Lonchura striata: one gene and its partners. Each later gene encodes a partner of the first gene's protein in a complex. Links are inferred from orthologs where the notes say so. Each region holds a gene or a part of one and is shown in the gene's direction. Other genes may lie near its edges. The genes, in order: TIMM22, TIMM10B and TIMM10.

Region 1 (7,164 bases):
AACCGTGAAAACAACAACCTAAGCATTTTGCCCTGCTGTATCTTGGGGAGCTGGAAACCTTTTACCAGCAAGAAATTCTTACAGCAGTTACCATGGTGACTCTGGTAATAGATATTTAAAGGCAGCTCACTCATAATCACATTCACTAGATATCAGGAGGCTTTAGTAAGAGAGGCACAAAAAGCTTGAAACCAGGGAGCCTTCCAGGCTTGGTGATGGTATAAGAAATTTATAGGGAGGGATCTGCTTATCCCATTGTTTAGCTGGACACAAAGGGCTCCTGTTCAAATCTGGAATGGCACTGAAGCTTGCAGAATAAACTATTTTTAGTTTGTCAACTTAAAAAATTATTCTGAAAGACTCATTTCAATCATGGTACTTCAATAAATCCTTTCAGAGTGGTCATTGCCAGAAATATAAGAAATAGCTGTGCCACAGCTCCATCCCCCATTAGAGCCAGGCTGCTGGGAATCTCCTGGTCTGCCATCACCTGGAAACTCAAATCTGGATAAAGCTTTCTGAGTTGAAGAGGTTTGTTTGGTTATACAAACATTAAATAATTTATTTCTTTAGGTCTGAGTCCACAGCTTTCCAATCCACTACAACACAGCCAAGAGAATCTGCAGAAGCAGATCTCCAGTTAGGGAGCCACTTCACCAGGCTGCCTAAGCCTGTGTTACAGTCATCAAACTGAGATTTCCTTTCTCTTTTTGCTGCATATTTCCATGACAACTTTCCTGCAGTATCAACTTCTTTCTATTGGAAAGGTCTCTCAAAGAGAATTTAGGCTTCTATAGCAACAGCTGAAAGCCCTGGAAGATGATGATGCCTGAAACTTTTTTTTAGACCACACAAGTGTGTTTTAAATTTTATAGATGAAAACAAAAATATGTGTAATATTGGGTAAACTGTGAAGAGAAGAAGTACCTTGCTGAAGTGGAACAAACACAAAGAAACCACCTACTTTCAAAAGGGATGCAGACTTTGAGATCTAAAACACTGGAGAGAGCAGACAGGATCAAACACTCATCTTGAAAAGCCACATCCTGTTCCTTCTCTCTGAGCTACAAAGCACAGTCACAAGGAACGAGTCTGCTGATCCTAAAAAGAGATTTTAGCCCAAGATCTCTCTCTGCAGCCTATTTTATACTGAACTAAAGCAAAAAAAACCCAAAAAAAAATTGGAAAATCAGTGAGTCAGGATTCCTTTTGAGTTTTAACTCCAATACACCTGCCACCTACCTATAACCTAACCTTTTTCTTAGTACTTTAGCTGTTTGCCATGGTAGTGACACAGTATTTTCCAATACTGAAAGCTTTAGGAAACAAAAAAAACTTCAGAAGAAAAAAAAAGCCCTGCTGCACTCTCAACCAAATAAATTTGCTAAACTCAAAAGCCAAGGAAAGTGTAGAAGCTGAAGCAGCTTTCCTTCACTGAAATAAGATGTATTTCACAAAGCACTTCACTTCTCCAGTACACTTCCAAACTTAGTTTTTTAAAGAAGAAAAAAAATACAAAACATCACATTCACAAGGTCAAGGAGAAGTAGGAAAGGATGAAATTTAATGTATAGATGAGAATGCCAAAGGGTGGAAATGAAGCCCAGCAGGTCCCAGCACCTTCCCTTTTGCAGCCACTGGAAACCTCTTTGTACACAACAAGTGAGATCAGCAGTGTGAGCACCTCAAAGAAGCCCCACTTTCTTCTGCTTATAGAAATTAAACGTTTTTCCTTTTTCCATTAAAGTACCCATTAATTTATGTCCTCTGTCATTCACCCCTACATCATGACAGTTCTGATAAGGATAAAAAAGTGTCCACAGGTAAGAATGAGTGAAAAAGAATGCATTTGATCTAATTCTGGTTGACTTCCACCTTCAGTCACTTCTTGACCAGCTGAATAACTTCAGAAAACACTCTGGAACTGGCAGTTTGACAAAATAAAAGTTGGGGACTGTAAAAACTGATTTTTATTTTTTTAATAGCACTGCTAGAGTCTATTCAAAACCTGGGAACCCTGCAACCAAGACATATGCAAAACCAGGATTTCTGACAAACCCCTCATTATTTCCAAGATTTATCCTGTCTGGAGAAGACTGAAGCGTGGGAGTCACTGAGTCACTGCAAAGGTCAAGTGAATTGCAATTATTCAGTGTCACCGTGTGCTGCCCTCTGCTGAAACAGGCACCGAGCTCCTTGGAGCAGCACAAAAACTCGGGATCATCTGTGCCCGCTGCTGCCCGAATTCAAAATGTTTCATTTTGTGGGACTGGGCAAGGTTAAAAATAACCTGAGCTCTTGCACCGGACTGAAGAGCTCCAGGGTAAAAGAGTGGCTTAGGGACAGCAGTCAGGGAGAAGGAAGAGGGTTGGATGCATCACCCTGCAGTGATGGAGGTTCACAGGCTTGGAAAAAAGAACCAGCTGAAAGTTTCATTTCAGCATCTTGTTTATCAAAGGTGTTGAACTCTCATATTACCTCTCAAATCCTTAATCCTCCATCTGATTTCACCTACACGAAAAATCTGTTCAGGCAGATGAGATTATTCAAATACTCAAGCACCAGAATTTGTTCATGTGTAGAACAGAATGGGAAGAGGAGAAAACTATTAAATATCGAAGGGAAAAAAATAACATCTAATTACACATTAATATCCATAAATAAGTATATTTTATAGAATCATATTTACAAAATTCTTGCTTAAATATTTTATTTACAACTAGTAACCCAGCATTTTCTCCAAAATGCAGGGAAAGGGCAAATAAAGTCAAAGCAATATTTAAACTATACATATAAACTCTCAGTGCTGAAATTCCCAATCCAACATATATGTTTTTTTCCCTTTAGGCCTTTAGAAATTAGGCTTTGCTGTGTGACTTCGACATCATCCCAGCAAGGTTATTTTGGATCAAAAAGATTGAAATCTTAAGTTGAGGGTTCCTTAGGGAGATCATCCTGCCAGCAACCTCCCCTACCTTGTCAAGATGCTGCTGGAGTAGATTTTAACCACGTGCTTTTTCATGGGATTTGACCTCAAAAAAATTAAAAAAAAAAAAAAATAAAGAAAAGGTGGGAGGAATACTCCCAAACAAATAAACAAAAATCCCAAACAAACAAAAAACTCCATTATTAAAAAAACCCCAAGGACGAAAAAAAAAAAGCAAAAGAGGGAATAGCAGTGGGCAGGTGGGCCCTGCTGGTGCAGCCAGCAGAGGGCAGTGGGATTTACAGGAAAGTTGTTGAACTTCGTCTGATGAAGTATTTGAAGTGATAAAATTATCCATTTAAATTTTTATTTGAACCTACCTACAGAAAGATTTAAGCAAGATAGAGAAAAAAGGATCAAAATGGAAAAGAAAATTTATTAGTTTAGGACCTCTAAAAAGTCGTGTTTCAGGGTATCAGGATGATTTCATACCAATGCATCATTTACTTAATTTTTTAAATAATTTTCAATTACTGAAATACAACAATTCCATGCATCCTATTGAAACCAAGAAAACTATTTCTCATAGATTTTAAAACCTATGGGTTACTTAAAATAGAAAAATATCAAATAAGAAGAAAGATATTTTTAAGGCACACCAATTGTCACTTTTGAAGATGAAAACTGGCTGTAGTCCACAAGAACAAGAAAGTAAAAGAGGTGAAGAAAAAAAAGAAACACAAGCAAGGAACATAGACTTTTTTAATGCTCACTGCACCTTGCTTACCAAAAAGGAAAAGCAACATTTCTCACCTTATCACCAAACGGAACAAGCCCCCCAGAGCTTGGGGTTGTCCGTGATTTGACACGAGCATTTTGTGATGGAACACTGTGGGTATTTTCAGCGCACATGTCCCGAAACAACACCGCTGCCCTGCGCCAGAGGAGACCGAGCTGTCCCGGGGCTCCGGCGGGGCACAGCCCTTGCCAGGCTGCGGTGCCCTGGGCCGTGCTGCCCCGCCGGGACCGCGGGCATCCCCCGTGCCCTCAGAGCCCCGCCGGGACCGCGGGCATCCCCCGTGCCCTCAGAGCCCCGCCGGGACCCTGCGGGCATCCCCCGTGCCCTCAGAGCCCCGCCGGGACCCTGCGGGCATCCCCCGTGCCCTCAGAGCCCCGCCGGGACCGCGGGCATCCCCCGTGCCCTCAGAGCCCCGCCGGGACCCTGCGGGCACGGCCACCCCACGCCCCGCGCGGGACCTGTTGCCCTCAGACACCGCCGGCGGGGACACCGCGCCCGCTGCCCGCACCTCAGCCAGGGCACAGGGACCGCGTCCCGCACTGCGGCACCTCAACGCTCCCCCAGCACGGGGACGCCCGGCGCGACGCTGCCGGTTCTCCCCGGCCCAGCCGGTCCCCCCGCGCTGCCCTCAGCGCCCCGCGCTCACCTGCAGCCGCCGCCGCGCTCGGGGATGCTCCGCAGCCGGAGCCCTCACCTCACCTGCACCGGCCGCCAGGGGGCTGCTGCGCGGCACGCCGGGTAATGTAGTCCCCTGCATGCCCGGGACGGCCAATCCCCGCGGCGCGCCGCGGAACGTGCCGGGAGTGGTAGTTCTGTCCGGAGGTGCCGGCGCGGGGCAGACTGGGAGGTGTAGTCAAAGCGTAGCGGTGCGCAACAGGCTTCTCCCCGCTGCGGAACTACAACTCCCGTGCGCCCCCGCCGCGGCGGCTCTAGCGGGCCCGGACGCGGCGCCGAGGGTGTGCGAGCCCATCATGGCGGCCCCGCCGCCCTCAGCGCCGGGAGAGCCGGCACCGCCGCCGCCGCCGCCGCCGCTGCAGTACAGCCTCCTGCTGCAGCACCTCGTGGGCGACAAGCGGCAGCCCCGCGTCTGGGACCCCGCCATCCTCGGCGGAATCCCCTGCCCGCCCAAGAGCGAGGAGCAGAAGATGGTGGAGCGGGTCATGGAGAGCTGCCCCTTCAAGGCGGCGCTGGCTTGCGTGGGAGGTGCGGCCGCTGGAAGGACGGGGCGGGCACCTGTGGGGTCGTTCGGGGGTCCCTGTGGGGTCGGGAAAGGGAAGGATGGAGAAGAGGCTGCAGTCCCCGTGTTTGATTTTCCTCCCGTGCCTGTCACATGTCGCAGGCAGGGATCTGTGTCTGCCTTCCTTGGCGAGGCACAGGCGCTCACGGCTTTCCTCACACAGCACGGGCTGTCACAAGTGGCCATGGCACCGAGAGATTCCTGCCCTGTCACAGTGCAGCGCTCACGCACAGCAGGAGCAGAGCCGCCTCACTCCCTGCAGGGAATGTGCTGCTCCAACCCAGCCCTGTTAATTCCGCTGTTTATCTTCCACAGGATTTGTTCTGGGAGGTGCGTTCGGTATCTTCACAGCTGGCATTGACACCAACGTGGGGTTTGATCCCAAGGATCCCTATCGCACGCCCACGGCCAAAGAGGTGCTCAAGGACATGGGGCAGCGAGGCATCTCCTACGCCAAGAACTTCGCCATCGTGGGTGCCATGTTCTCCTGCACGGAATGCGTGGTAGAATCTGTGAGTAAGAGCCTACCCAACCATTAAAAAATGATTTCTGGTACTCTTTAACATCTTTTGCTAGATCCAAATAAGTACATATATCCTGGAATGGGCTGCTTTGTTCTTTCTTGGCCAGCAAAGCTTTTCAGCTTTGAGATCTGTCTTCAGAGCTGCTGTTCTCTGACAGAATGAAGAACACTTTTGCAATAGCAAAGTCCTTTTCAGTTTTAAGTCCTAAATGTATTGGCAAGCATAGGCATTACTTTTTAAAGCCTAGCTACAAGTGCTTGTGTAAAATGTCAAACTGTGAGTTGCAACATGGTAATTTGAGTGTCTAAAAATTCCATATGTAAAAAGGGATCATTTGATGCAAGTTCTTGAGTAACAGGCCAGTTTTCATCTGGCCCCTACAGTCAGAAATGACCTTTTGCAGCTCAGTGGTAAATCTATCATCTGGGGTTTTTTTTAATAGGAAAATTACCCTGTTACGAATTTGAGTCCTGTCTTTTAATTGAAAGGCACAATTACTTCTTAACTCATCTAGAAGAAAACCATATCTGCTTGCACAATGGAGCAGAACAAAGAGATCTGTGCACTGGTGAAAATCCAGCATGTCCTGGCTATGGAAATAGTCCACCTTTGTCAGCAGCTGCTGTGACTCACCTGTGCCAAGGACCAGGGCTGCTCTGATGTAGTTATTGCACTTTTAGACTCAGGGCTGTGTTCTGGGGGCTGTCCTGGCTCTCCTGAGGATCTTTGCCACAGCACTGCATTGCACCGTATGGATTTGTCTCACCTCTCCCAGTTACCTGCTCCTTCCTCCCTTCCCGGCCCTGCAAGGCTGGGAGTGCAGGGCCATCTGCTGAGAGCAGAGGGAAGAACATCCTCAGCTGAGAAGGGGATGGAAGAAGGTCGTTTAACCTTGCTGCTAGCAGAGATACCGAGTATTTATTCCATATTTACTTGTTGGCTCTGATTTGTAATTCCACAGTATCGTGGGAAGTCAGACTGGAAGAACAGCGTTATCAGTGGCTGCATCACAGGAGGAGCCATCGGCTTCAGAGGTTGGTGCTGCCTGCTGGGAACTGTTTCTGTGATAAGATTGAAGTTGGTTATGCAGCACACGATGTTCTTAGTGCAGCACACACACCACAAACCTCTTTGCATGGGGTTGTGGTGATGCCAGCATGAGAGTGTGCTCCAGACTGGCAGAACTGTCAGCTCCAAGAATAAGTGGGGATAAGGAAGGGTTGGTCATAGAGGAAAATCAACAAAATTCACTTGAAAGAAAGTCAGGAGATGGTGGTGGCTGTCCACACTTTTCTGTGGTGTCATGGGAGAGAGCCAAAAATACATACAGAAGCTCTCGTGCTAACTGAGCTCTACACATCTACCATTTCACTGTCTCTGCTTTGAAATTAGTACTCTCCTTTGAAATTAGAACTAAAGAACTCTCTTCTTTTGTACCACATGTGAAATGCTTTTCTTCTTTCTCAAGTATCAGTTCAAACAGACAATTCTACTTACGTGTAAACAAGAAGTGGGGTTTTAGTCCAGCAGCACTAGTGGAGACTTTTCCTTTAGTGGTAACATCTGGAAAAATGCCTAAGTAGGAGAGAGCTGCTCTGCTCATCAGAAATAGCAAACTTCTCTCACTCTCCTTAAGAAAAAAAACTGTTCTGTTTTATGGAGCATAAATTAAAAGAAA
Region 2 (5,943 bases), on another chromosome or scaffold:
TCTCGGCGCCAGGGGTCTTGAGCTTGATGTTGAACTGCTTGAGGGTCTGCTCAAGCTGCTGCTGGTTCCCAGCAAAGTACGCAGAGATGGCGTTGTGGAACAGCAGCAGTTGCTTGTGCATCACCTTGATCTGGGGGGGAGGGGATCATGACTGGGAGGGCCTGAGCCCACCCCAGCAGCACAGAAAAGGGCTTGGAAAGCCCTCTGAGGCCCCCCGAGTGCCACCACTCCCCCTCTGCACTGTCTGTTCCACCCAGTTCGTGTCTTCGAGTGACAAATGCAGCGTGGATGTCAAATCCCTGCAGGGACCCCATCCCTGTGCCCCCTATCTTTGCACTTCCCTCCCATCCCTGTCCCAAACCCCTCCTCCTCATGTGCCCCATCTCTGCATGCCCCACCTCTGTCTTGCATCTAGCATTCCTGTGCCCCCCATCCCCACCCCACACCTCCCATGTCTGCACCCACCTTGTTCTCCTCCAAGAATTTGAGCTTGATGGCCACGTCTGCCCGCAGCTTCTCGTACTTGTCCTTGTGGCTCTGGAACTGGCTCTGGGCAGCGTCCAGGCGGCTCACAGCGCCGGCGTCGCGCGGGCCCATGCTCAGCTCCTCCAGGTCCGTGCGGTACGCGTCATACTCCAACCTGCGCAGAGTCCCGGCATCACCGACCTGCCTCCAGCCCTCCCCGGAGCCCTGAGCCCCCCAGGGCTGGCCCACCTGGCCGTCTCATACTGCTTCACTGTCATGAGCGTGTCCTCCATGGTCTTGTTGACCAGCGTATTGATGCTGGACACAAAGAAGTTAACGGCGCCCAGCAGCGTCTCCCCGTTCTTGCACAGCAGCTTCTGCGTCTCCGCGTTGTACCCAAACTCCTCCTGGGGACAGAGGGATGGGGGCACAGGTGAAGGGCCACGGATCACATCCCCACTCCCTTCTGTCAAGGGTGCTGGGGGAAAAGCCCCGAGACCACCAAGGCCAAGCATGACGCAGCACCACCGAGGCCAGCACCAGCACAACAGCCACTCCTGTGCAGATCACGTTGCTGCCCTGGTGTCCAAGTGTGACTCCCCAAGTCCTGACCCCCACAACCCCAGTGTCAAACCCCAGCTACACCTGCCCCGCCCAGTGCCAGTGTCCAGGTGTCCCCTCCAAGTCTGGGTGCTCCCCATCCTCCCGCAGCCCTGGTGCCCAGGTGTCCTTGCCCTCACCCCAGCATCCCCCTAGCCCTGGCACACCTGGAGCTCAGGGGATTTCTGACTGAGGTCAGCAAAGGCGTCCCCCAGGGCGTGCTGGGTCTGTACGAGGCTGTAGAGGTGGGCCGTGAGCGCCCGTGCCAGGTGCAGGACGCTCTCGTACTTGCGTTTGGTCTCACGCAGCAGCTCAATCTGGGTCTCCAGCTCCAGGTCCACTGTGCGGGACCCCCGGCCGAAGCGCTCCGAGAGCAGCTGCTTGGTGCACTGCAGCAGGGGGACACAGGGCCCCAAGGCGCCTGTGAGTCCCCCGAGCCACACCGAGAGCAGCTCCTCATGGGAGGGGAGCAGGAAGGCCCACTGGTGTCCCCTCACACTCACCTTGTAGGTGTTGATCCCCCACTTCTTGACAATGTCGAACTTCTCAACGGCAATGCCGCGCACGACCTCTTCTCCACCAGGCGGGGGTCCTGGGGGTGGTGGGTGCAGCCCAGGGCCTGGCACAGGGACAGGAATATGGCACCAGCTGCACGAGGGCGGCAGCCACGGGGAACGGGCAGCCCCAGCCTCCAGAGCCCTTGTCCTGGAGCTGCTATTTCTACAACAGCATGCCCAGCTCCAGGCATATGCCCAGCACTGGCTCACAGGCATTGTGATGAGGACCCTGCTCCTGCCAGCCCCCCTGAGGGTCCCACACAGGGGCACAGATCCCAGCCCAGCCATATCTGCTTGCACCAAGCCCTGCCCCATTCCTGCCGACTGCTGTCACCAGGCTGGACACAGGGGGAACACTGCCCAGTAGTACTGGGAGCCCCTCAGGTGGGCTCCAGGGGCAGGGTGGGCCCCTCTGGCCAGGACCCACCTCTGAAACCCCTGGGCCCACCAGTGCTGTCGTCTGTCCCAGCACAAGGATCAGCCCCAGGACCAGGCTCTGGCCATGACACAGCCGCCATGGGGGTTCTTACCAACGTCCCTAGGGAGGCCCGGGGCCCCCAGACCCAAGGGACGCCCGGGGTGGAGTGGGGGGCGCAGTACCTGCGGGAGCCGCGGCCGGGCGGGCCATCCTACGGGCAGCAGGCGCGCTGGGGGCAACCGACGGTCCTCGGGGGGGGTGAGGGTGGACAAGAGAGCCTGGAAATGGGGGGGCTGCGGGGGCTGAGCAGTGTGGGGCAGGACAGGATGGGGGCACAGGGCATGGCACAGTGGGGTAGCCAGGGCAGAGGGACGGGGGGGCAAGGGACAGGGGCGAGTGCGCGGGCGGGCGGCAGCGGGAGAGCGACGGCAGCAGGTGAGCGTTGGAACCCAGAGACACTGCCACAGCCTCACAGACGGATGCCCCAGCCCAGGAAACCCCCACCTCTGGCCCCTGTGCAGGAACCCCTGCACTCCAAGGGCTGGGTAGGCCTGGCATCACGAGCACGCTGGGACACAGAGACACAGGGACACCGGGCCAGCAGTGGCGGTGCTCCGGGGAAGTGCACACCCGTGCAGTCTCCCTCTCTGCCCATATGGACCTTCCTCAGGCCCTGGGGAAGATCTCTCAGGGAGAGATCTGCATGGAACAAGGACAGTGCTGCCAGGTCTCCCAGGGTGCAGAGCCCAGCTGGCCCCGCTGTGGCCCGGTCTGACTGGGACAGCAAGAAGGGGTCAGCAGAGTGTGGGCTTGTGCCCCTGCCTGCCCCCTCATCCCCAGCACACTCCAGAGCTCCCGCTGCACATGGACCAGGACACAGCAGGGATCCTCCACCAAGCAGGGATTCAGAATCTCACGGGGATGTCCTGACCAAGGGGATGGAAATTCCCAGCAGAGCCCACCCTGTGACAGGGGAGCAGCCCAGGGAGAGCGGAGCTGGGGCAGCAGCCCCTCCTCTGCCATCAGTGCACACTGCCACATGCTGCCCCTACACAGAACCCAAGCCCACCCAGGAGCCACCTCGGCCAGGCTGTGGCACAGCCTCGTGTCATGAGTCAGGGGCACTGAGAAGAGATGAGCCCCTTGGTCCCACGATGGCCCCATTCCCTCCCAGCCCAACTCCACTACCTTTGATGGTGCCGGTGGGGATGATGCCCTCAGCCGTGCCCCCGTAGCCACCTGACACAATGCTGGTCTCATTCAGGTTGGGTCCTGACACCATCACCTGCTGCAGGTCCTGGGGGGCAGAATAGCACAGGGGCTGAGAGGCAGAGATGGCACAGCCCTGGTACAACCCAAACACCCCCTAGGGTTCCCGAGCTCCAGACCTGCTCCAGGCCATCGTCCTCGGGCAGGCTGCTGGTGTCCCCGTTGCTGCTGATGGGGATCTCCATGGTGGCTGCCTTGCTCAGGATCCCGTCCGACATCCTCAGGGCCTGCAGGGACACGGCCGTGGTGCTGGGGCCAGGACCACCGCCCGGCCGGGGGCAGCAGCCACAGCCGGTACTGCGGGGCCGTGTTGGGACAGCAGGAGGCTTCGGCGCAGAGAGAAGGGCCCACATCGGCAGCCGCTGGCACCGAGCAGAGGCTGCCCGCTGCCTCCTGCAGCCACTCCCAGCCCGGCCCCACCGTCTCTCGGGACACCCCCGGCCCCCAGAACCGACCCGTGGGGTGGCACATCCCAGAGACCGCTGCGGCTCCCACACCATCACGCCAGGGCTCCAGGGCTCCCCCGCCCCTCGGGCCGCACTCCGTGCCCCCTCTCACGAACCCTGCCGGGATCCCCGCAGTCCGTGCCCCGGGACAGCGGCGCTGGCAGCGCGCAGCGCGGCGCCGGGAGCCACGTCCGCAGGAGAGCGGGAGGGGGCCCGCTGCGCTCGGACCGGTCCGGGCACATTCGACAGCAGGCGGGGCCCGGGGCGGGCTCCCGAGAACCCGTTACCTGCGACCTGTGCCCTCCCCGGCGGGGACAGGGCCCGGCCCAGCGCGGGGGGCGAGCCCTGCGGGCAGAGGCTGTCACCGCCCGGGGCCATCCCGGCCGCGGAACGGCCCCGCAGCCCCACAGCCCCCGCGGCGGGCGGGGGCAGCGCCCGCACGGAGCCCTCCGCAGCCACGCACGGCAAGGCCCCGGGACGGGACCGACCTCCGAGGGAACCCCCGGTGGCCGCTCCCGGCGGAGCCGGCCCGAGCGGGCGGCGGCGGCCGCAGCCCGGCTCCCGGGGCTCTCTCGGCCAGGCCCCGCTGGCCGTGCGCGGCCCCCCGGTGCCCCCCAGCCCCACCTGCGCCCCGGCCCCGCCGGGCCCCCCGCGCCGCTCCCGCTCCGCTCGGCCCGGGCGCGCCGCAAGTGCCGTCAGGGCCCGGAGGTGGCGTCATGGCTGAGCCGGGCGGATGTGACGGCGCGGGGAGTGCGGCGGGAGCGGCCCGGGCCGGGCCCGGCATGGACCCGGCGGCCGAGCACCGGCAGCAGCTCCGCAGCGTGAGCCGGGGGCGGCGTGTCCCGCCAGGCCTTCGGGGGGGTCCCGGGGCTCCAGCTGGGGGGTCGCGAGGTGCCGGGGTCGCAGGAGAGCCGGCGGGGCCCTGGAAGGGACTCGGGCTGGCCGGGGGGCGCGCCGGGACTCGCGGTGGGTTTCGGGGGTACCGGAGCGGCTCCGCCCGGTGTGATCCGCGCCTGCTCCCCAGCTGCGGGATTTCCTGCTGGTCTACAACCGCATGACCGAGCTCTGCTTCCGCCACTGCGTCTGCAACCTCAACTACCGGCTGCTCACGGGCCGCGAGGTGAGCGGGGCCCGGGGGCCGCGGGCCGGCTGCCCCCGCGCCCCCTGACCCCCGCCGTGCCCCGCAGGAGTCGTGCCTGGACAGCTGCGCCGCGAGGCTGGTCCGCGCCAACCACCGCCTGATGGGCGCCTACGTGGGACTGGTGCCGGCGCTGCTGCAGCGCCGCGCAGCCGAGCACGGCGCTGCGGCGGGGCCGCCCGCACTGCCGGCCTCCCCTGGACCGGCCCCGGGCCCCGCGGAAGACGCTCCCGCTGCCGGCACGTAGAAGCCCCTGGCCGCAGCTCCCCGCGGCCGTCGGACGCAGCAGCAGCCCTGCTGCGCTGGAGCTCCAGGCTGGAGCAGCATCCGCGCTGGGCCCCCGGAGCCCCGAGCAGCGGCTGGGCTATGCAGGGCACCGAGGATGGGGGGCACAGGAACAGGGGAAGGCCCCCCCTAGCCCTCCTGGCTGTGGATTTCTGGGAAGTGGAGTGTGAATACCAATAAAACATCTTCACAGTAATGGCTTAGTGTGACACGTGGGGAGGGCACCAGAGCCCTGGCCCCTGTTCGCTGCTGTGTGAACCCATGGCACAACAGGGAATCCAGGGAATTGCACCTCACTGGGAGACAAATGTCTCCCTACAGGACGCCCGTGATCACCGGGACATTGCAGGGCCCTGAACATTCTCACTGCAACTGTCAGGTGCAGAGCAGGCACTCAGGGCAGGGGGAGGGGGCAAGGTGGGGGTAGATGTCAGGTGCTGCCAGGCCAGTGCCCACCAGCTAAGGGCGTGTGTATGCGTGGTCCCTAGGAGATCCTGGCCTCTTCTCTCCCTGCTGCAGCCCCTGGGCAGAGGGCGTGAGCTGCGGGTCCGGGACAGGCCTTAAGGCAGGTAAGCACAAGCCCCAGTACAGAAATAAATTGATATATTCCGTGTACAAAACATGCTCCTGCAGGCCCGGCCGGGCACTCCCGCGCATATAAATAAGGCCCGGCCCGACCTCCCCTCTGTCCTGCCCACGGGGGCCAGCGCCTGCGCCGGGGCCACCCCTCCCGCGGGACCCCCGGGCTGGCCGGGGTCACTTAAG
Region 3 (5,711 bases), on another chromosome or scaffold:
CCCCCAGCGGGTGCTGCGGCCGAAGGTGGCCCGTGAGCTGCAGGAGCGCCCCGAGCAGTTCCAGCGTCGGGCAGAGGAACACGCCCGGCTCCACGCCGAGCCGCGCCCCGACCCCCACGCATAAAGCAATAAATTCTCTCCATCACCTGCTCTGGCTCCGTGGTGCCTCACTGGGAAAGTGGGGGGGCTCCAGGAGTTGCTGCCCTCCACGTGCCAGCCCTGCGGGATGTCACCCTCCTGGTGGCAGAGCCAGGGCTGTGCCCCAACCTGGTGACAATGCCCAGACACTCGCTTGGTGCCAGCGTTCCTCCCTCCAGAGACGAAGCCACCACCTCCTGGAACCATGGCCTTTACTGCTGGGGGACAGAGCAGGGGACGAGGAGGGGGATGGTTCAGGCGGGGGGCTGTGAGGGACCCTCTCAGCGCTTCTTGGTCTTCACGAGCCCTTTGGCCACCAGGCAGCGGTACAGCTCCTGCACGTACGTGTACACACACTTGGCGTCGGGCACCGGCAGCCGCACCATGTCCTCCACCTCCAGCAGGGGGGCACAGCCCGCCCGCTCCCTGCGGGAAGGGACACAGCGGTCACCGGGGCCGGGGGTGGCCGGGGGTGGCCGGGGGCACCGAGGGGCCGGGGCTGCGCTCACGCACTCGGCAGTGGCGAAGGCCAGGGCGAAGTTGTCCCGGCGGGAGTTGGGCTCCAGGGCGGCGAAGTCGAAGGCGTCGGGGAAGAAGCTGTGCAGGAGCGCGCAGAAGGCCAGGCCGCTGCCCCAGCTCCCCGAAAAGTTCTGCACGTCCACGTGCTGCGCAGACAGGGGTGTCAGGCCACGCCCGGACCCCCCACCGGACCCTCCTGCCGCCCCCCAGATGCACTCACCGGGTACCCACGGGTGCGGGCGCGGCACCACTCCAGCAGCATCATCTTGACCGTGGCAGCCCCCCCTGAGCGCCGCAGGTGTGGGGCTGGGCCCTTGGCAGCCCTGGGGAGACCTGGGCTGTGGGATCCCCACACCCCACCGTCCCTCATAGGGACCCCAGCCCCTCTGTGACCCCGTGGCTTTGGACCCCCAACGCCCCACTTGCCCCATGGTCACACAGCCCCCCCTGTCCCACCCCCCCACAGTGCTCTATGGACCCCCCATTCCTCCCTGTACCCCTCATTGCCCCATGCCCCCCGATATCCCGTGTCCCATACCCTCCCTCATTGCCTCATGCCCCCCGATATCCCGTGTCCCATACCCTCCCTCATTGCCCCATGCCCCCCAATATCCCGTGTCCCATGCCCTCCCTCACTGCCCCATGTTCCCCCTGTACCACCATTGCCCCTCAGACCCCCAGTTCCCTTATGACTCCATTGCCCTGTGCCCCCAATACTGCCACTCTCCCATGCCCCTGCCATGCCCCCCAATTTCCCCTGTCCCTCCCATTGCCTCATGACCTTCCAACACCCCCACTACTCCATGACCCATCCATCTCACTGTCCCTGGCTGTCCTACAGCCCCCACAAGACCCCAGGTCCCCCATTCCCTCAATGCCTCTCCTGCCCCCCCACAGGGCCAGGCCCTCCTCACCCTCCAAACTTCTCCAGGATGGCGCTGCGCCCCTGTGCCCGGGTCCCCACTCGTGGCCGTCCCCCTGCTCCCTCCAGCCTCAGCCTCTGTCCCGCTGAACCGGGGGCTGCCTTGTCCCGCGTCCCCCCTGCTGGAGCACCCCTGCAGACACACACGGGTGGGACAGCCATGAGCAGGAGGCTGTGGGGGGCCATCCCTGCCGTGGGGTACTGGGATGCCACCTGTGGGGACACACCTCTTGCTGCCCCCCGTGTCCTCGGCAGTGCCAGCTGCAAGGAGAGAGGAGGGGTCAGAGGGTGGAAGAGGGCACCCACACCCCCCTGGCACCTCTGGGGCTCAAGGTCCCCTCCCAAGAGGAGGATGGACACTGTGGGGCAGCAGTGACCCCAGAACACTTGGGTGCCATCGCCCAAATGTCTCTTACCTGTGGGGGACGCTGGGGATGCTGGGGACACAGGGGACATAGGGGATGTGGGAGATATAGGGGACATGGGGGACGTAGGGGACGTGGGGGACGTGGGGCTGGTGGCCCCCTCTGGGGATGAGCAGGGAGGGAACTCAGGCCACAGCTCATCGTCCTCGTCCTGAAGCCAAGTGGGTTCCTGTAAGGAACAGGCAGGGTGGCACTGCCAGCACGGTCAGTGTCACTCACACAATGTCCCTGGCACAGTCATCCTGGCCCTGGCACTCTCACCCTGCCCCAGTAAAGTCAACTCTGTCCCCATCTGTACCGCAGCTGCCCTCCCCACCACCTCCTGCCCCGGTTGTGCCGCCACCTCCCTTCCAGCCCCTCCTCACCTTTTGACGCCGGGTGTTGCCAGTTGCTGCCGGGGCCGCTTTTCCCTCGGTACCCTCCTCGGTCCCCTCCTCGGTACCCGCTCCGGTGCCCCCGGCTGTCCCTGCCTCGGCATCACCACCACCATCCCCGGCCTCTCCGGCATCGTCCCCGGCACCCCTGGGTGCTTCTGCCCCGCCATCCCCGGCAGCCTCTCCCCCCGCGCACCTCCCTGAGCCCCCCGTATCCTCCCCTTCACCCCCCGTGTTCTTCCCTTCACCCCCCGTGTCCCCCGCATCGCCCCCCGCTTCCCGAGCTTCCTCCCCATCCCGGGGAGCCGTCGCCTCCCCGCTGCTCTCCCCCGGCCCCGCGGCGGGGTCAGAGGGGGTGTCCGGAGTGGGGCTACTGGGGGTGGGGGTGCCGGGGGTGGGCGTGCCGGGGGTGGGGGTCTCCGAGGTGGGGGTGCTCGCGGTGGGGGTGTCCGAGGTGGGGGTCTCAGCGTCTCCCAGAGCCTCCATGTTGCTGCGGTCACTGCTGCAGGGGCACAGGGCTCGATGACGCCGTGGGCTTGCCCGTGCCCCCCATAGCCCCCCAGGCCGGCTAACCCCCCTCCTGCCCCTGCCCCCACGCCCTCCTCCAGCCCCGGCACTCCCACATTGGGCACCCCAGTTACCCCACCCCGACTCCCCCATGCCCCGTCCCGGCACCGCCACAGCACAGCCCGGTCCCTTCACGTCTTCCTGCAGCCCCCCACGCCCCAAACCAGCCCTCCCACTGCCCTCATGCCCCGTGTCAACACCCCTGTGCTCCCTCCTGCCCCCGTGTCCCATCTCGACCACCCATATCTCATCCCGGCACCGGCACGTCCCTCTCCCGGCCCCTCGTGTCTTCTCCGTGCCCTCCGGTTCCCGCTGCCGGCCCCCTATAACCCGTTCCCGGTCTCCCTTGCTGCCCGCCGGTCTCCTGCCCGGTGCCCCCCAGCCCGCAGGCTCCCGGCCGCTCCCGTTCCACCCCCGCCTGGCGTGGCCCCGTTGTTCCCGGAATCCCCCGGAGCCCCTCGGCCCGTACCCTCCGGCTGCTGCCGCTCCGCCGCCCCTGCTGCGCCCCAGCCCCCCCGCCCGGCGCTATTTTTACCCGGCGGGGGCAGGTGCCGCCTTCACTCACCGCCCACCCGCGGGGCACGCGTGGGGCCGGGCCGGACACCCGGCCATGGCTGGGGCGGGGGGACAGTCCCATAGCCCCACCCGGACAGCGGCGACACCCCAAAGCAGCCACCGGGTGGGGACCGAACCGTGCCACCCGAGGGGCACAGAGGACACGGACGCCCTGGGCAGGGACAGGGAGACTTGGGGGTCACAGGCAGACGGACGAGGGGGGGAACACAGACACGCGGGGGACACGCGGGGGATACGGGCACACGCGGGACGTGGGGAGCGCGGGGGGAACAGATTCCCGAGGGGCAATGGGGGACACAGACACGTGGGGACACAGATGACACGGGGACAGCCCGGGCAGGACGGCGGGACACAGGAGGACCCAGGGACACGAGGAACGGGACACAGGGGAGGGACCCGAAGCCCCCCGGCCGTGCCCGGGTGAGGTCCCGGCGGTGGCCACGCCCCCTCCCGCCAGGCCACGCCCCCTCCTCGTGACCACGCCCCCTGCGGGGCAAAGGCCGGGCAGAGCGCGCGCTCCGCCGCTCCCTCCCGCCGCTCGGCAGCCGCCGCCACGCCCCTTCCGAGGGACCAATCAGCGACAGATGCGCACCCCTGGTCCCGCCTCCGCCTGCACGCGATTGGTCAGCGCCGGCGCCGGGGCGGGGCCAGCGCGCGGGTGGGCGGAAGCGCGGCGCCCACGTGGTTCCTGCAGGGAGCCGCCGCCGGGTCCCGAACCGAGCGGGACCGAGCCGGTCCAACGGGGCGGATCCGAGCGGGGTCGGGCCCAGAGGGACCGCCATCGGGGCTGAATCCGAACGGGGCCGGTGCTGGCCGCTATGGATCCGCTGCGGGCTCAGCAGCTGGCGGCCGAACTGGAGGTTGAGATGATGGCCGACATGTATAATCGGTGAGGCCCGCCGGGAGGGAGCATTGGGGGCGTTGGGGTACCGTGGCTTGGGGGACACTAGCGCGTGTCAGAGGCAGTGGGGGACCCCGGGGTGCTGGGGTTGTAGGGGAGTGCGGGGGTCCTAGGGGACACCCGGGAAATGGGGAAGGAAACCGGAGATGCCTGAGGATGTGGGACGGCGGGGGGTCCTAGGGGTGCCCGGGTGGTGATGATGGAGGATACTGGGCTTGTTGGGGTGCAGAGGCCGGGGTCCCGGTCGGTGAGGATGCGGGTACAGGAGGTGTTGGGGTGCAAGGGCTGGGGATGCCGGGGATGGCGATAACGGGGGGTACGGGGGGTGCTGAGCTGCGGGGCTGGGTCCCGGGGGTGGTGATGGCAGGGTACCGGAGATGTTGGGGTGCGGGGTCGGGGTCCTGGGGGTGGCAATGGCGGGGTACAGGGTGTGCTGGGGTGCGGGGCCGGGTCCCGGCTGGCGCGGGGCTCAGGCGCGGTGCGGTCCGTGCAGGATGACCAAGGCGTGCCACCGCAAGTGTGTCCCCCCGCACTACAAGGAGTCGGAGCTGTCCAAAGGGGAATGCGTGTGCCTGGACCGCTGCGTGGCCAAGTACCTGGAGGTGCACGAGCGGATGGGGAAGAAGCTGACGGAGCTGTCGCTGCAGGACGAGGAGCTGCTCAAGCGAATGCAGCAGGGCAGTGGCACTGCCTGAGCCCCCACCCGTCACCCCAATAAACCTGGGGCATCTGCTGTGCTCCCCTCGCCTCCCAAACCCACCCTGTGGCCATGTGTTGGGGTACGTGCTGCCCGTGATTGCTGCTGGGAGCCCCCCCTTGTTGTCACCAGCTGCCACGTGCCATGTCCTTGTGGGGGGCACCCAAGGGTGCCCCCCCTGGCTGGGCCCAGCCCGTGTAATCCCCTGGATTAGGTAGAGCTGGGTTGAGCCCCTTGTAATCCCCAGTGGGGTGGGACAGGGCTCAGCCCCTCCCTGTCTGTCTGTGCTGAGGGTCACCAGAGGGGACAGCCAAGGACCCTGCACAGGGACACACAGCCCCCGAGGGGCAGGGCACAGGGACACTCCCAGAACACCCAGCCCTGTTTGAGGATACACAGATGGGACCACGTGGGGACAACCCAGGTACACCTCTGCCTGGGAAAGACCACAGGGGAGGGGGCATGGGGACACTCACATGGGGACAGTCTGCACCCACACAGACGGACACCGCCACACAGCCCCGGGGACACTTGGAGGGGACATAAACACCCAGCGAGTTACACCTGCTGAAGGACACCCCACGCTGCGCGA

Evidence for each region.
Region 2: TIMM22 (region 1) and TIMM10B share a complex: the UniProt entries of both Homo sapiens proteins name them as parts of the TIM22 complex. The link is inferred for Lonchura striata from reciprocal best matches to the Homo sapiens genes TIMM22 and TIMM10B.
Region 3: the proteins of TIMM22 (region 1) and TIMM10 are in contact, whole or in part, in a cryo-EM structure (PDB 7CGP), measured with the Homo sapiens proteins. The link is inferred for Lonchura striata from reciprocal best matches to the Homo sapiens genes TIMM22 and TIMM10. Residues at the interface, in NP_037469.2 of Homo sapiens: Tyr25, Ser26, Leu28, Leu29, Gln30, Tyr31, Leu32, Val33, Arg40, Leu42, Leu47, Gly48, Glu67, Glu144, Ser145, Tyr146, Gly148, Ser150; in NP_036588.1 of Homo sapiens: Pro3, Ala6, Gln7, Leu9, Ala10, Ala11, Leu13, Glu14, Val15, Met17, Met18, Ala19, Tyr22, Ser44, Lys45, Gly46, Glu47, Arg53, His62, Glu63, Gly66, Leu69, Thr70, Ser73, Met74.

What each region holds. Positions count from the first base shown.
Region 1 is NC_134622.1:8,103,448-8,110,611, reverse strand, and holds TIMM22 (mitochondrial import inner membrane translocase subunit Tim22), read left to right. Parts: upstream 1-4,670; 5' UTR 4,671-4,696; coding exon 4,697-4,928; intron 4,929-5,277; coding exon 5,278-5,474; intron 5,475-6,447; coding exon 6,448-6,636; downstream 6,637-7,164. UniProt on the Homo sapiens protein: Essential core component of the TIM22 complex, a complex that mediates the import and insertion of multi-pass transmembrane proteins into the mitochondrial inner membrane. In the TIM22 complex, it constitutes the voltage-activated and signal-gated channel.
Region 2 is NC_134604.1:116,965,515-116,971,457, forward strand, and holds TIMM10B (mitochondrial import inner membrane translocase subunit Tim10 B), read left to right. Parts: upstream 1-4,481; 5' UTR 4,482-4,537; coding exon 4,538-4,576; intron 4,577-4,779; coding exon 4,780-4,875; intron 4,876-4,942; coding exon 4,943-5,140; 3' UTR 5,141-5,374; downstream 5,375-5,943. Other genes in the region: ARFIP2 (arfaptin-2), read right to left, coding at 1-130, 466-640, 715-872, 1,233-1,454, 1,569-1,684, 2,223-2,333, 3,229-3,337, 3,429-3,527; RRP8 (ribosomal RNA-processing protein 8), read right to left, coding at 5,935-5,943. UniProt on the Homo sapiens protein: Component of the TIM22 complex, a complex that mediates the import and insertion of multi-pass transmembrane proteins into the mitochondrial inner membrane.
Region 3 is NC_134608.1:53,145,112-53,150,822, forward strand, and holds TIMM10 (mitochondrial import inner membrane translocase subunit Tim10), read left to right. Parts: upstream 1-4,184; 5' UTR 4,185-4,339; coding exon 4,340-4,410; intron 4,411-4,915; coding exon 4,916-5,117; 3' UTR 5,118-5,177; downstream 5,178-5,711. Other genes in the region: ubiquitin-conjugating enzyme E2-18 kDa, read left to right, coding at 1-124; SMTNL1 (smoothelin-like protein 1), read right to left, coding at 420-564, 652-803, 878-980, 1,572-1,712, 1,807-1,840, 1,996-2,173, 2,447-2,548.